Mytilus edulis: one gene and its partner. The protein of the gene in region 1 binds, or shares a complex with, the protein of each later gene. Links are inferred from orthologs where the notes say so. Each region holds a gene or a part of one and is shown on either strand. Other genes may lie near its edges.

Region 1 (7,210 bases):
AAAATTGTGTGAAAAAATCTAGACCTTGAATAATAATACACTTTCAAATAAAATGCAATAATGAATTGTAATAAAAATATTTTTGAACTGAAATTGAAAGCTTTTAATGAAAACAATGACTTTCCCTAATTTTTTAACATTATTAAAAACGATGTTATAATGAATAGAATACAAACCATATAACACTGAACAGAGTATCAAACTTATGTAAAAGACATTTGCTGCCCTGGCTTCGAAAAGCAGTCTTCAATTCTGTAAAGACAAAAAACATCTTTTTATTTAGAGCACTTTGATCTTGTAAGTTATAGTAGAAGTTTAAGGAAAAATAAGAAAATTAAGATGATAACACAATATTGACTGTTGTACCCCTATTTTTGGCATTTTTACTCTTTGAGTATGTTTGTTTTGTTCATGCATCGTTGACAATGTAATGGAATTTGATGCGACTGTCATACAAGTGAGAGGTTAAGCTAGCTATAAAACCAGGTTCAATCCACCATTTTCTACATTAGAAAATGCCTGTACTAAGTCAGGAATATGACAGTTGTTATCCATTCGTTTGATGTGTTTGGACTTTTGATTTTGCCTTTTGATTTTTGATTTTCCTTTTTGAATTTTCCTCGGAGTTCAGTATTTTTGTGTTTTTACTTTTTATAAATAAAGATTGTAAAAATTTTGAATAGAGATTAAAATACTGCTGATTTCTACCTGTATTTTATTTATATCAGTATAAAATAAGAAACATGGTATGATTGTCCAATAAGGCAACAATCCTCAAGAGTTCAAATCATTGATGTGGCTTATTTGATTGAAAGCAATATTGAAAACACAATTAACAGAAAAGAATGAATTGGGCTTTTTTATTACATATATTGTTTAATCTTATATTTGTTCTGCTTTTCTCAACTTTTTCTTATTATCAAAATGTACAATAACTACAGATAAATAAATAAAAGATGTGGAAAGATGGATAACAGCTGCATCAACATGTTTCAATTTTCATCAACAAAATATTTTTCAATTTACCTTGTAGAGCACCTGGTATCTCTCTCAGTGTGGCAATCTCACTGACAACAAAGTGATCTATACCTGTTCTGTTTAACAAGTCATCACGAGAAGAGGGAATTACAAATTCAAAACTCATCTTTAAAACTGAAAATAAAGAATAAGAGATTATTAAACAGTATTCATTTCTTCAATCATTTATCAATAGAAATAGACTTCATAACAACATTTCAGATTTGTCTAGTGATTGCACTTATTTACAATTTTAATTCTCATTGTGCTCATTTCGCAAATGTAGTTTTTGGACCGTTCTTTTTTAACCAAGTAGAAAAATGGGCTTACAAACATTAAAACATCACAGCATGAGTATGGGGTTAAGTCATTATCAGAATAGTAATGAGGCTGGTCAGAGATGATATTTTTGTCCATACAGTGCCAGCCAATCAAGTTGTCATTTTCATTCCCGATAATTAATTAACCACTTCATTTTTTGTTAATTCTGCAGAAAATACTTGCTTCAGTTTCTAGACTAGTTCATTAGTTGATTTCTTTTTCAATAGTACATTCCCTTTTTATTTTCAGATCTCTAAACTAACTTATTCATTTACTTTAAATTTCTAATCTGAATATACAATGTAAGAGACAGAAACAACTTGTTTTCAGGTCGATCTGGCCCCAAGTCGATCCAGCCCCAATAAAAAATTATATCTATAAGGAATAAAAGGAAGATATTTATTGTAATTCATAAATGTTTATGAATTTTATAATAATGTTAAAGCTGTACGGGTATAATTACAATAAAAAACATAAAAGAATTTATTACAATCAACATTAATTGTATTGTTTCCAATTGACTGTGATCCTAGCAAGTGTCATCCTGTGTAATAAGGAAGTTACATTAACAACAACACAAGCCGATCCCTAAGCTGATACACACTTAATTTTTGTTTGAGTTCTAAAAACTTCTAAAATTGATAAATGTTGTTTGATTTGCCGAATCCTTTCTATAAAAGAGGAGACAGAAATATAACATGTATTTAATTTTGTGTAAGGGCCTCAATGAAAATTAAGCAGTCTATTGAGTTACAGACACAATGACACTGATTTTTGTATCGATTCAAAATAATGTCGTCAATTATGGATACTTGTAGATTTTTAAAATTCCATTTATACTGATTTCAATTTGACACCAAATCCTCCAAAGGCAGTATAGATTAGTATTCATTATTATATTATGAGGCCGGATCGACGTGGGAAGGATCAACTTGGAGCTGGATTAGTTTGTAGACAGAACGACAGAATACCGAACAACTTTATCTTCTTCTGATTGTATAACCCCCACTTTTCCTGACTTTAGGCTAGCCCAACCTTGTATGGTGTTGTCAAATTATACACCTTATCGCTAAAACAGGATAGTCAACCAAATGACGGTGGTCACTTAGTGGTAGTAGAAGTAATTCCAGCTGACCCGGCCGCTTTAACTATTGACGTAAAAATGTATACAACAATCACTTTTTCGTTGTAGCGTCAGATATTTTGTTTTATGATGTCAGACAAATACTCATAATTTCAAATAGCGATAAGATGTATTGTGAACAGAACAGGGAGTTTCTTCAGTCAGTACTGCGGGAACTGGTACAGCAACAAGGGATCTGAATGAATACATGACACAAGGGTTTGAAGGATCGTACTGCCTCTTACGAAAGATATGATATCTAGAAAGTTTCAACATTTAGTAAACTTTCAATAACTCAACCTTGCAATGTTCAAGGAAACCCCCCTTTTTATGTTTCAACAAAATTATGAGTTCACGCCTTCTTGCATTTCCTTTATAACTGTTCTCATCTATAAATCAATGATAAGTATAATAGCATAACTTGTAATGTAGACTCTTACTTCTTTTAACTTTCTAAGCGTCAATACTATACTGATCATTCCACAATGTTTACAAACTTTGAAAATTTCAACTTTCCGCCTTTCGCAGCGTGAGATATCGACCAATCAAATTGAAGCTTTATATTTACATCTTTTAGAAAAAAGAAAAATAAAGACCAAAGGAAAATAGAATTATAATTTCGATTAGGTTTATCAAATTTCTTCCAAATTTTGAACCTATAAATGATTTGATGAAAACGTAAAATTTAAATAGACCAATCAATTTGAAAATCTATTTAAAGTTCCGACGACCGGAAGCAATCATTAATCTCCAAACCGAAAGTGGCCGGCATGAGAAAATCTTTTAACCCCGAGATGGACAAAAATGAATAATTTTAAGCCCTTTTATCTTATCCTTTTATTGTTATCGTCTGTGATATTGTTATATTTAAGTTTTAAAAGTATTGTTTTACTCACAGTTTTAGCAGTTGCTGTCATATGGGGCTCGAATGTCGTAAACGGCTCCTGGAAAAGTACAAATACTCAAAAATTAACAGCATTTAAATTGAAAAAGACGAAACCATTCTCACATGAAAAGAAAACTAAAATAAAATTAAGCAACAAGAAGAACAGTTACGATTCATCATTCAAACAGTTTTTTAATGCAAACTGTGAAGCAGAAATGCCATCCACAGTCAAACTGACACCAGGCCCAAATCGACAAAAAACATCAATTAACAGAAGTCAGACTTTTTCATCTCCGTCTCCATATCTCCGGACGTCATTGTTTAACAGTTCATGCTCTTTTCAAGATCGCTCGGATGGCAACTTGTCCATTTCATCAACAAATGGTCATTCAAGATCTCCAGCACCATTTTTACCATCGATCAAAAGAGCACTCGGGGTATCAGAATACTCACCAAGGTAATTGATAGTATGAGACAGGTGCTGCCATAAAAGAGAATTTTTCTAGTATTATCAAACAGTTGCCAATAAAGGCACTTCGAGATCAAACAAACCATTTTAACGGTGCGGCCGAACTGCAATGTCATATTACAATTACATATTTCAATTACCCCATGTCTGTATGATATGGGCCATGGGATAACACTGCCTCGGTTAACTGGATATTTTTTCCCAACTTTATTAGATATGATAATGATAAAAAACACTTACGTTCCGTCATTGTGGTATTAGTCACATTTTGATATAAAAAGAAAAAATTCCCAATTTTTATTTTTTTACATTTACAACAGACATGACCATGATGACAGATTATATATTTCTAGACATATTTATCTATCTTCTAATTTCAATTATTAACTTGTGTGATGATGTTCTGTAACTGCAAAAGGCTTGTCTATCTTTAACCAATTTATAGAAGTTAATACATGTACAATCAAATGACTATATGCATATATGTCTAGTCCAGGGATGGGCATGATACTGACAAAAGTAATCGATTACTTGAAGGATTTTTGTGTATTCGATTAATAATCAATTGCAATTACATTACTTTTCGATTACTGTCAATTACATGCTACAAAATAACAATAAAATAAGTAAGTTAAACATAACTATGTAGTTCAACGTATGTATAGTGGAAATTTAGAACTTTATGAAAACAGCATTTAAAGCATTGTTTTTAAATTTTAAGTTAACAGTTGTTTTCTTGATGGAAGCTCTTACTGAGGATGAGAAATATTTAAAAATTCTTGATTTTTGGTTTTCAACATGAGTGAGTAGTGATAAATTTCTTGCACTGACATGGCCTGGTTTCGGTCACTTCTTTAAATTTTTTTTTTTTTCTCCATGTTTTGCAAATTTTTGCTGTCATACTGACGTAAGTTAGGTATTTTGTATTTACTCATTTTTAACACGTATATTTGAATATAGTTCATTTCAATGTTGGAAGTTTCCTCTGAAAAAAATATATAAAAAAGGAGAATAATTAACTAGTTCAGCTAATTTTAAAGATGTAATTTTATAATATTTATAATTAATACATGCATGAAATAATCGGGTTTTTGGATAGCCTTCCTAAATACAGATTATAAAACTGCCAATGGGATACATTTTATAACTGGGGCAATATAATGTAAATCTCCTCTTAATTAGACATAACTGAAATCAAAACAAAGTTGGCATCTCATTGATTAGAAATCCTTGATCATCTGATTGGTAAAGACAATAAGTTAGTTGAAATTTTATTATGCTATATTCAAAATTATAAACAATATATATTTTTTAGTGTCAAAATGGGATACAGGTATCCTGCACAAAATTTCAATGCATAGTTATCGGTTCATTGTCAAAAGGATTTTGTGAACTTTCTAATTTTTTAAATCATAATATTATGACGAATCAACTGTTTATCTATTCTAGCTAAAATTCCACCTCTTATTTAAAACTAAGCTTCAATGTCAATGCAGTACAGAACTTAACCCTTTCAACGCTACACAAAAAAATAGAAAAATGGCTGCTGCTGCTGCATTTTTTTTGTGTTCATTCATTAGAACAGTATATTCCTTTTCAGACTGCTGTATCTTTTTTATTATAAGAGATACAGAAAAAGTTATTGCATGAAAAATGCTCAGGAGAGTATGAACTGTAATGTTAGGCAGTTATTTAAGTAAAATTTTTATCAGGTTACCTGCATTTTCAGGTAATTAACAGGTAAAAGGTGTAATTTGTTACATTTGTGTTGAATTTTGAATAAAAACTACTTTTCGTCTTCATCTATTTTGTTTTTTTATCTGCCATATAATAAAGAAGACACCAATTGCTCGATTCCGTAGCGTATTGCACCATACACAACGTATTATGTAATCATGGCACAAATCAGTGGCTCCGTCCTCAAAATTTTCAGTCAACCTCCGTTTTCCCCCCTTTTTCTATGTCTCGTAATGATCGATCAAATCATATTTCCCACACGAATTGAATGTAATAAACACATTGAGATAACAAGAAACTTTTAACTAATCCTCGTCATCAGTTTCGCCATAGAAATGCTGAAATATTTCCATATTTACAGCTTCGTTTCCGATTTCCGCCATTTGCATTTGTCAAAATATTTGTTTTTATTTTCCTCCAATTTTCCTTCTACTGCATGATTTTACAATAAAAATTGCCGGGATTTCAAGCGCAAATGAGACCTTGCATATCTTCAATTCATACAAGGAAAAATAAGAGAGGACCCGAATGAAAACCGAATGGTTTCGAGTCCTTATGAAAAATCCGTTGTCATCGCGGCATATGCCGCGAATAGCAGTGGCGGACGGCGTATGTCATCGCGGCATATGCCGTGTATAGCGTTGAAAGGGTTAACACAAGACTCATTTCTTATTTTTATCTATTTTCTTATTTCAAAATAAAAGGTCTTTAAATTATTGGCAAGCATTGAAGACAGTATAGTCAATTGTTTCATAGCTGATTATATACAGTAAAATTTGGTAGGAGATCTGGTTGATCAAAATGTAGCTATAGACAAAAGATACAAATTAGGCATTTGATAAACTCTGAAGTTTTTTTTAATAATTTCTATTTTATCTGTACTATAAAGTGATGAAGACATACTTATTTTCATTTAAAAAAGGATATATTTCATTAAACTATTTTACTAAAGTAATCAATGATTACATCATAATAATTGCTGTAATCGATTAAATTAAGATTATATGTAATCGAAATGTCTTCGATTACAGATTACTGTCGATTACTGAAAAAAATGTAATCAATTACAATCGATTAGGATTACAGATTACAATTACCCCATCCTGGGTCCAGTCCACCTTCTGTATTTACATCTCAAAAGTGTGGGCAGACAAAGACCCAATAATGTCTGATTAAAAAGAAATCTAGTAAAATGATGCTCTAAATAAATTCTTTATAGGTTTAAGTCTTTCTGTAAATTGGCAATTTTACATTGAAACTACAAAAAAGTTGAAAATAATGTCATATACATGTACAATGTATGCAAAATGCCAAGTAAAAGATTAGACTGACGAAATCTTAATCAATGTCAACCCACATGACTGGCATGTGACTTATTTTCAAGAACTGTTGGGTTGCCATGAAAAATGTTTTTGAAAATATTGTTTATATGATCAGATTTTAAATTTTTTCCCTAGTTTGTGCATTCTTGTAATCTTCAACATATTGAAGTTAAAGAGTATTACATGTATGTAGATGTATATGTAGAGAGTGCTGAATGTTACGTTAAACACAAACAATTAATCAGTAATATTTTTCAGGAAAAGACAAGTGGTCATCCATCTTATGGGTTTAGAAAATAAATTTCTTTATAACCATGCTTACTGTATACTACTGT
Region 2 (7,518 bases), on another chromosome or scaffold:
CCGAGTTTGTAATATGCCGAGTTTGTAATGTGCCGAGTTTACACTATGCCGAGTTGACGTGTCCCGAGTTTGTAATGTGCCGAGATGTCTTGCTTCGTTTTTGATAGTAGCACTTTCTGTCTCCGTGTGGACACACAAAAAAAAAAAAAATAATAAATAGCCAAATGATGAAAAGAAAATATGAAATGACAAATGTACCCACACAAGACAGATTATTCGGTCTAACCTCAGTGAGACCCACCTTAGACTACAAAGTTTTATATAAGTATTGTTTGATACATTAATGGTAGTCACTAAAGTCTATTATGTTTTTTGGTCTACACACTTATATATTTTTCTGTTAGAGTTATTAACACAAATGTCATTTAACAGTAGCTAACACTGTTTACGGAATACTTAGTCCAAATAATTATGACGTCTTGAAAGGCTATTATAATTTTTTTCTTTGACGCCTTACTTCGATTCGAAGTAAGGCGTCAAAGAAAAAAATTATAATAGCCTTTCAAGAAGTAAGGCGTCAAAGAAAAAAATTATAATAGCCTTTCAAGACGTCATAATTATTTGGACTACGGAATACTCTGCTTTTGCCAGATAAAAATTTATTTTTCTTTGAAATTGAAACAAGTCTGACTGTCAAAAATAAATGTAAATGAAAAAATGGAATTTCTATCAGGAGGATTAAAAAATTAATAAATCCTTAAAATTTGGTGTTAAATCAAATTTAACTGGTGTACAATCACTGATTTTCCAATCTTCAATTTTATCCTGCTTACTCTTGTTAGCTTGTTGTTTTTAAAGATGGCGCTGCTAAATATATCAACCAATGAAATGAACGGTTTCGAAACGCAGGTAAAAATAAATTATGTACTGCTAAACTCGAAGTCGGACCCATATCGCGGAATATAAATAAATAAATGGAAATTCATTCCACAGAAGTAGATCTGATTGCGTTTTAACATGTTATTAGAAAAAAAAGATCACACAAGCAAAATGGACAATTGTTTTGGTACCTTATTGTAGAAGGTCACGCTTTCATAAAATGTTTATGACGTCTTTACACTTTTAATCAAAGGAACGTATACGGATGAATATTTTTTTGTGTGCACACATATTCAAGATAAAAGGCATGAATTTTACAAACACAATAAATTAAAACTGAGACTACTATAACACATATAGTTATAGTAGTCTCAGATTAAAATGACAAAGATATAGCACTAAACGACATAGTTTATGATTTACATTATTAAAAATTATCATTTTAAAAATTAAATTGTGAATATTGATATTTTGAGTAATTCAAATAGACTAAATTAATAATGAGTGAAATTTAAATTGACTACATGATTATTTTTTAGTTGTTATTGGCATTAAAATAACTTTCGGTAGCTTCGAATATTATTAGATCGATAATCTTATCTTTAGGGACGACATCAAAAGATCAATGTAAGATAAAAAAAAAAAAAAAAAAAAAAAAAAAAAAAAACTTAATTCAAATAGTTTGGGGGTTGAACTGCTGCAAGATTTGGTTATCCGACTTTGATTTTTACATATATCCATATGGGTCAATCAATTTTTCCCAAATTAAGTTTATAGGGGGGTCAGTGAAAAAACTATTTGAATTAAGTTTTTTATCCTTCATTGAACTTTTGATGTCGTCCCTTATTGCGTTCACATTATAAGTTGTGGTGTGCTCTGTATCGGCGATCATTTATATGATTTCAGTCACGGATAATTTGTTCTTATGTTATATCAGGGACAGTCTTTCAAGTGACTAATTTATAGAAATTCTCTAATTAAATCAATGTGCTCTTATATGAATCACTGTTTTGGTGGAGATGACCCCCACGTCGGAATGATGGCTTAATCCCGCAGCATTCAGTATATGAATGTCCCAAGTCAGGAGTTTGTGCTTGAATGCAGTGCTGTTATGACCCTTTGTATCACATTTGCTGTCCGTTTATTGTCATGCCGTTTGTACACAAACCAGGCTGTTGTGTTACCCACACCTCTGTTGTGCTATTTTCAATTATGTACTGAAACGAATTTCCTGTACAGAACCCTTACGGTCCTCCACCAGACTCAAATAGTATACCAGTGATAATTTATATTGTTCAGTGTTATATTGTATAATGTTATACATGTCCTTAGGTGGGTTTTTTTGTTGACTTGAAATTTGTCTTCTGGACTAAGTGTTTGCTTCTTCAAATAAAAAAATATGTATATTTGAATATTTGAATAATTACATTGAACTATTGTTGTGTGCACTTTTTTAATTCTTTTAAAATGCGTGTACTGTATTCGTTGTTAAATAGTGGTTTGAATTATGCCTGCCATCTTGTTTAAATGCCACAGCGCCATTGTAGTGCTTTTTCAAAGTTTAGATGTGATGTAGCACCATTAAAAATTGAAACTGGTCGATATGAAAGAAAAAATCTAGACGAAAGTGTCTGTTTTAACTGTAATATTTTAGAGGATGAAAAACATGTACTTTTAAATTGTCCCTTGTATGAAGATCTAAGACATGCTCTTTTTATTGATAAATTGTGTCATAATGATATGTTTTTAAACTTGTCTGATGAAGAAAAATTTATATATATGTTTAAAAATACCAATATTTGTAATATTGTTGCCAAAACCTGCAATAACATTTTAACAAGGAGAAACAGTATTTTATATCATTAACTACTGTATTTGTAGTATTTTATAAAATGAATAAGTATTATTTGTATTTTAATAGTCTCTCATAATTCTTTTAAGAATGGCACATACATGTATTTAATTGTTTTAACTATGTTTACTGTATAATTAATTTTATAATTGTATCTTGTTTTAATCATGTCGTATGTGGTGAGACTTTAATAAACTTTTGAATTCTAATTGTTTCTTGTTTCTGAAATTTGGTTTGTTGATGAAGTTTATAAGCTTGGCACACTGTTCTTTTGCTGTTCATTTGAGAATGGCCCTTAAAACAGCTCTCGTATGTGTGCAAGCGTTGGGTCAAAATGTTTTGCCTTATCCTGAATAATTTCATTTTCATATTTGCATATATCAGTTTAATGTTAGTTTGCTCCCGTTCTGAACTTAGACACTTATCTAGCAGTCCTTATTCTGAATATACAGGAATCATTTATTACAGGACATAGTTTAAGCAAGACGATAACTTGATTCAGAGCTTGTCTTTTGTACAACCAAAAATTAAAAAAAAATAAGATTTTTATCTTAACTGACTTATACAGTTCAGACATACTGTATCTATAGTGTTTAGATTGTAATGCCATTAATATACCCCCACTCCTTTTTATAGTATATCATTTGACAACAATTTGAAACTATATTCAAAGAGTGTTTTATCTATGACATCATTGAATCAATGTTTTTTTTTAATTCTTTTTGTTACATGTTTTTGTGTGTTTTTTTTATGATCGAGTCGACTTTTTTAACGTAGTTTTAAGATTTGTTCCAATGTGACTGCGATTTTCACACTACTACACTAGGTTAGGAAGGAGTGAGTTTCACAAACATGTTACCCCCGCCGCATTATTTATGTTACTGTTCGAAGCCACTTACAAGCAATTATTTACATTTCAAAATTTCTCTAGCTTTCAACACCTTTGCATCCGCGACTCGGCGATGGAAACAAATTCAGGGAAAATGGTGACATCTTGTTATAAAAGAACTCATCTTTTTCCAAAATGAAATTCGATTTTAAACTTTGTTAACGATTGAAAACCCAGTTTATCACTTCTGGATCAGATTACGCGGCGGATACGAGAGCTAGTGACATTACCCTTTGTGGTGATCTGACATTGTTCACATATTTGTCCTCTTGTCTTTTTGGATTACAGTTGTCTCATTGGAATCCGTACCATGCATATCATCTTATTCTATTTTATATTCAATCTTCATATCTAATTTAGGTTTCACCTACATTTTGAAGAAAATTTAAGCAGCATTGATAATAATATGCCTTATTTAAAGAGAGTGAAACCAATTTCTCGCTGCATTGAAGACCTGTTGGTGACCTTCTGCTGTTGTCTGCTCTATGGTCGGGTTGTTGTCTCTTTGACACATTCCCCATTTCCATTCTCAATTTTATTATATTGTGTTCTAATCTTACTTGTGGCTCTCATAAAGTTAAGTGCAAATTGCTATAGTACACTACACAAATGCTTCATTCAAAGTAAGAATTAACGATAAATAAATTATATAGTCACTTTTTTCTTTTAAAATCAATATGTAATCTTGAATTCGTGAATACTGTACATAATGCGTATTTTGTAATATATACAATTGTGGATGTTATTTATACTAACCTTTACTCTTTGTCTCAGGAATAAGGAGGTGTGCTTTTTCTAGTAACATTTTAATGGATACTTATAAGATACATATGTTGTTATTTTGCTACTTTCTTTTGGTTTGTTTGCTGAATTTGAAACGTTTAGACGATGAAAACTATTATTACGTGTTTCCATCTTACAGAGGCATACACGGAAATGCAAATAATGTCTTAGTGTGTCCCTATTTCTCGCAATTTCTCGTCCACAAACGAGACCATACGGATGGCGGAAACTTCAAAACAATAGATAAGTTCTAAACAACACAAAAGGTGACTTTATAGTGTAAATGACAAAACACATATACAAAATTACAAAACATTCCCAGTGAGTCTATGAAATTATCAAACTGTGTACCCTTTAAGATTGTTTAAATCAAATGAGAACGGGTTCACTTCAGTCTTCATAATTTTTTATGAATATCAAAATAAACCGATTTATCATGTTTATAGTGATTTCTAATAACAAATATGTAGTTTATACATTAAAGATATTTTTAGGAACGAATAATAGCATGACAATTAAGAAATATAAAAGAACAGAAACCGCTAAACACAAATTATGATAGTCAATATTTAAAATGTTTCAAATCTTTTGAAGTTGTCTCCCTTTTGATAGTTCTTCAGTTTATTATTGTCTGCACATGTACTGATGCAAAACAGAATTTTGTTGATTATTCGCAAGTTATATGTTGAACAATGGTTACTTAATACTAAATATGAGGAATGACAACACATTATTATTTTCAAATTGTTGGGTTGTTCAGTAAGTACATGTAAAGCATACATAAACTGATACAGGAGTAAAAAAGTGTTTTTCAATTTTGTATTATATTTAATGTTTTAAATAATTGTGAAATACTGTAAGCTTTAGATATGCCAGTTGTTTTTGTATTATGCATACAGTCAACACTATACAATCTATAATTGATAATCTACATGTACAAAAAATGTATATACAAATGTATTCATATTGATTTCTTTAATTCATCCTGTTGTTTTCATGCATGTAACAAGAGAATTTGGGCCTGGCACTGCAAATACCTGTCACAATAACAGGAAAGAATGAAATTGCCATGATGCAATAGGAGAAAATCCTTTATACTCTCTTAACAAATGTAATACTCACAGCAAATCATTCTCAATGTATTAAATTAATGGACATCTGTGTTACAACTTCAAATCCACAACTGGGAGAGGAAAATTAAACATTTTGAAGAAAGTTTTTCAGTTGTACAGTACATGTATATGTACATATTACACATGCTAGAAAATAAACAGGGATGCATTTTAAAAATTGTAAATTTATATTTAATGTTATTTGCAGTGATCTGGAAGGATTATTTCTCTTTGGGCCCAGGGCCCCTCAAAATTAAATTCAAGGGGCCATTTTAAAAAATAATGGGCCATGTTGTCAAATGAATGGGCCATTTGAATTGACTACAGTGAAAAAAGTAAAAAGTGTATATCTCAGCAAAGAGATGGTGGTACTTACCTTAATGATTTTAAATAATATTATAGATATTGTGCCTGTGATTTTGTTATTTCAATTCAACAAAGAATGTAAAATAATTTCTTCCAAACCAGATAATATTTAAGATATCCTTTATTTACAATGTTTCTACTGCTACTGTTGTCTTGTTCATGTGCATGAGTTTTTTTACATTAAATTTGGGTCTTCGTCGATACCATACTTATTCCCGACGTTCCGTATTAGAGGACGTATTTGGCATTTCCTCTGCACTTCTTGTATTATTATTACTTCATCACGATGACAACAATAACAGTAGAGAGTATCATTAATTGATAAAACAAAACAACAATTCGCTGAAGGCATGTTTACAAAATGTCAAAACAAGCCAAAGACCAAAAAGTGACAAGGACAGTTAGTCGCCTTTTATGGAGACAAAAACTATATTCATAAAAAGGCTTTGGGGTTTTTCAACGAAAAAGTAGCAAGCTGAACTAAATTAAAAGATAATAATTAGAGACAAATCTCGTCTGTACTAGCCAAATTTTACAAATTTAAGGTTGTAAAAAATCATATCATGAATGATGGTTAATTACGTTTTTTGGGTAATCAGTTACACCCATGGTTCTATTATTTCCATAGGAAAACACCCGAGACGTCCCAAAAATATATAGGTGCTCCTATCATTGGAGGAACATTACACAGTTGTGTACACACACATGGCGGCACGGTACACGATCGGAAATCCATTTGACGATATCAAAACGTATCGAAACGAAGTGAAAAATATCGTGCGCCACGTGGGCGCTTATATAAGTCACTCTATGCGCCATTTCTGGTCGATATGCGCTATAGGCGCAGGGCGCACGACCTTCCCGATCACTGTATTTGAACTTTTCAAAATTTGTAAATAAATGCATTTGTCAATTAGTTCCTGAACTTGGTTGCATGAATTCTACACATCTGAGGTTTGGCCTGACTTTTCCATTGTCACTAATTACAATTTCATATTTTAACTGGGGAATTCCTGTGTGTAGACTAACAAATAAAAAATATCCCCATTCAGCAATTAGAAAGCTTATTCCTATGTACATGTGACAATAAACAATCAAATAAACTTAATAGTGTATTAATGTCTTCTTTATCTTTGAATGCACAATTTTACAATTGGTGATGGACACTAATGGTTAAATAAACAATATTTAGCTGAGTTCCCCAAGCTGCATACATGTACATTGGTCATCAATGACAGAATGTAACTCTTTTCACTGGAAAAAAACCTTGTATATTTATTTTCCACTAAAATAAATTACTACAAGCTGCTTCTATGATCAAAATCAATTTCTTATTAAAAAAGCATATCACTTCAGATCATAAAATTGTCAACATAGCATTAAAGAAAAACTAGAGAACCAAAGACTGGTTAGTGTGACTTCTTTAATTTACACTGATTAACAATTGAACAATTTTTGCTTTCTATAGATGCCCAGCAGGTCAGATGTCCTCTCTCCTTTGACAACGCCAGCCATACAGAAACGGTCTGGTATTAGTAATACAGTTGGTAGTTTTGTGTCTCCATCAACTAGCAGACATAAAGGAATGGATAGTCCTGTGACTATGTATATGGAAGAATATGATGCTGGTACTGAGAAGCGTGATCGACGTCGCTCCAGAGCATTAGAATTGAAACAAACTGTTGGGAGTCCTGCTT

The links.
Region 2: condensin complex subunit 1-like (region 1) and condensin complex subunit 2-like share a complex: the UniProt entries of both Homo sapiens proteins name them as parts of the condensin complex. The link is inferred for Mytilus edulis from reciprocal best matches to the Homo sapiens genes NCAPD2 and NCAPH.

Annotation. Positions count from the first base shown.
Region 1 is NC_092356.1:7,066,447-7,073,656, reverse strand, and holds the start of condensin complex subunit 1-like, read right to left. Parts: upstream 3,013-7,210; 5' UTR 2,902-3,012; intron 1,153-2,901; 5' UTR 1,145-1,152; coding exon 1,027-1,144; intron 253-1,026; coding exon 177-252; intron 1-176. Other genes in the region: uncharacterized protein, read left to right, coding at 3,266-3,804. UniProt on the Homo sapiens protein: Regulatory subunit of the condensin complex, a complex required for conversion of interphase chromatin into mitotic-like condense chromosomes.
Region 2 is NC_092347.1:57,141,565-57,149,082, reverse strand, and holds the start of condensin complex subunit 2-like, read left to right. Parts: upstream 1-4,498; 5' UTR 4,499-4,609; intron 4,610-4,939; exon of another isoform or gene 4,940-5,102; intron 5,103-7,289; coding exon 7,290-7,518. UniProt on the Homo sapiens protein: Regulatory subunit of the condensin complex, a complex required for conversion of interphase chromatin into mitotic-like condense chromosomes.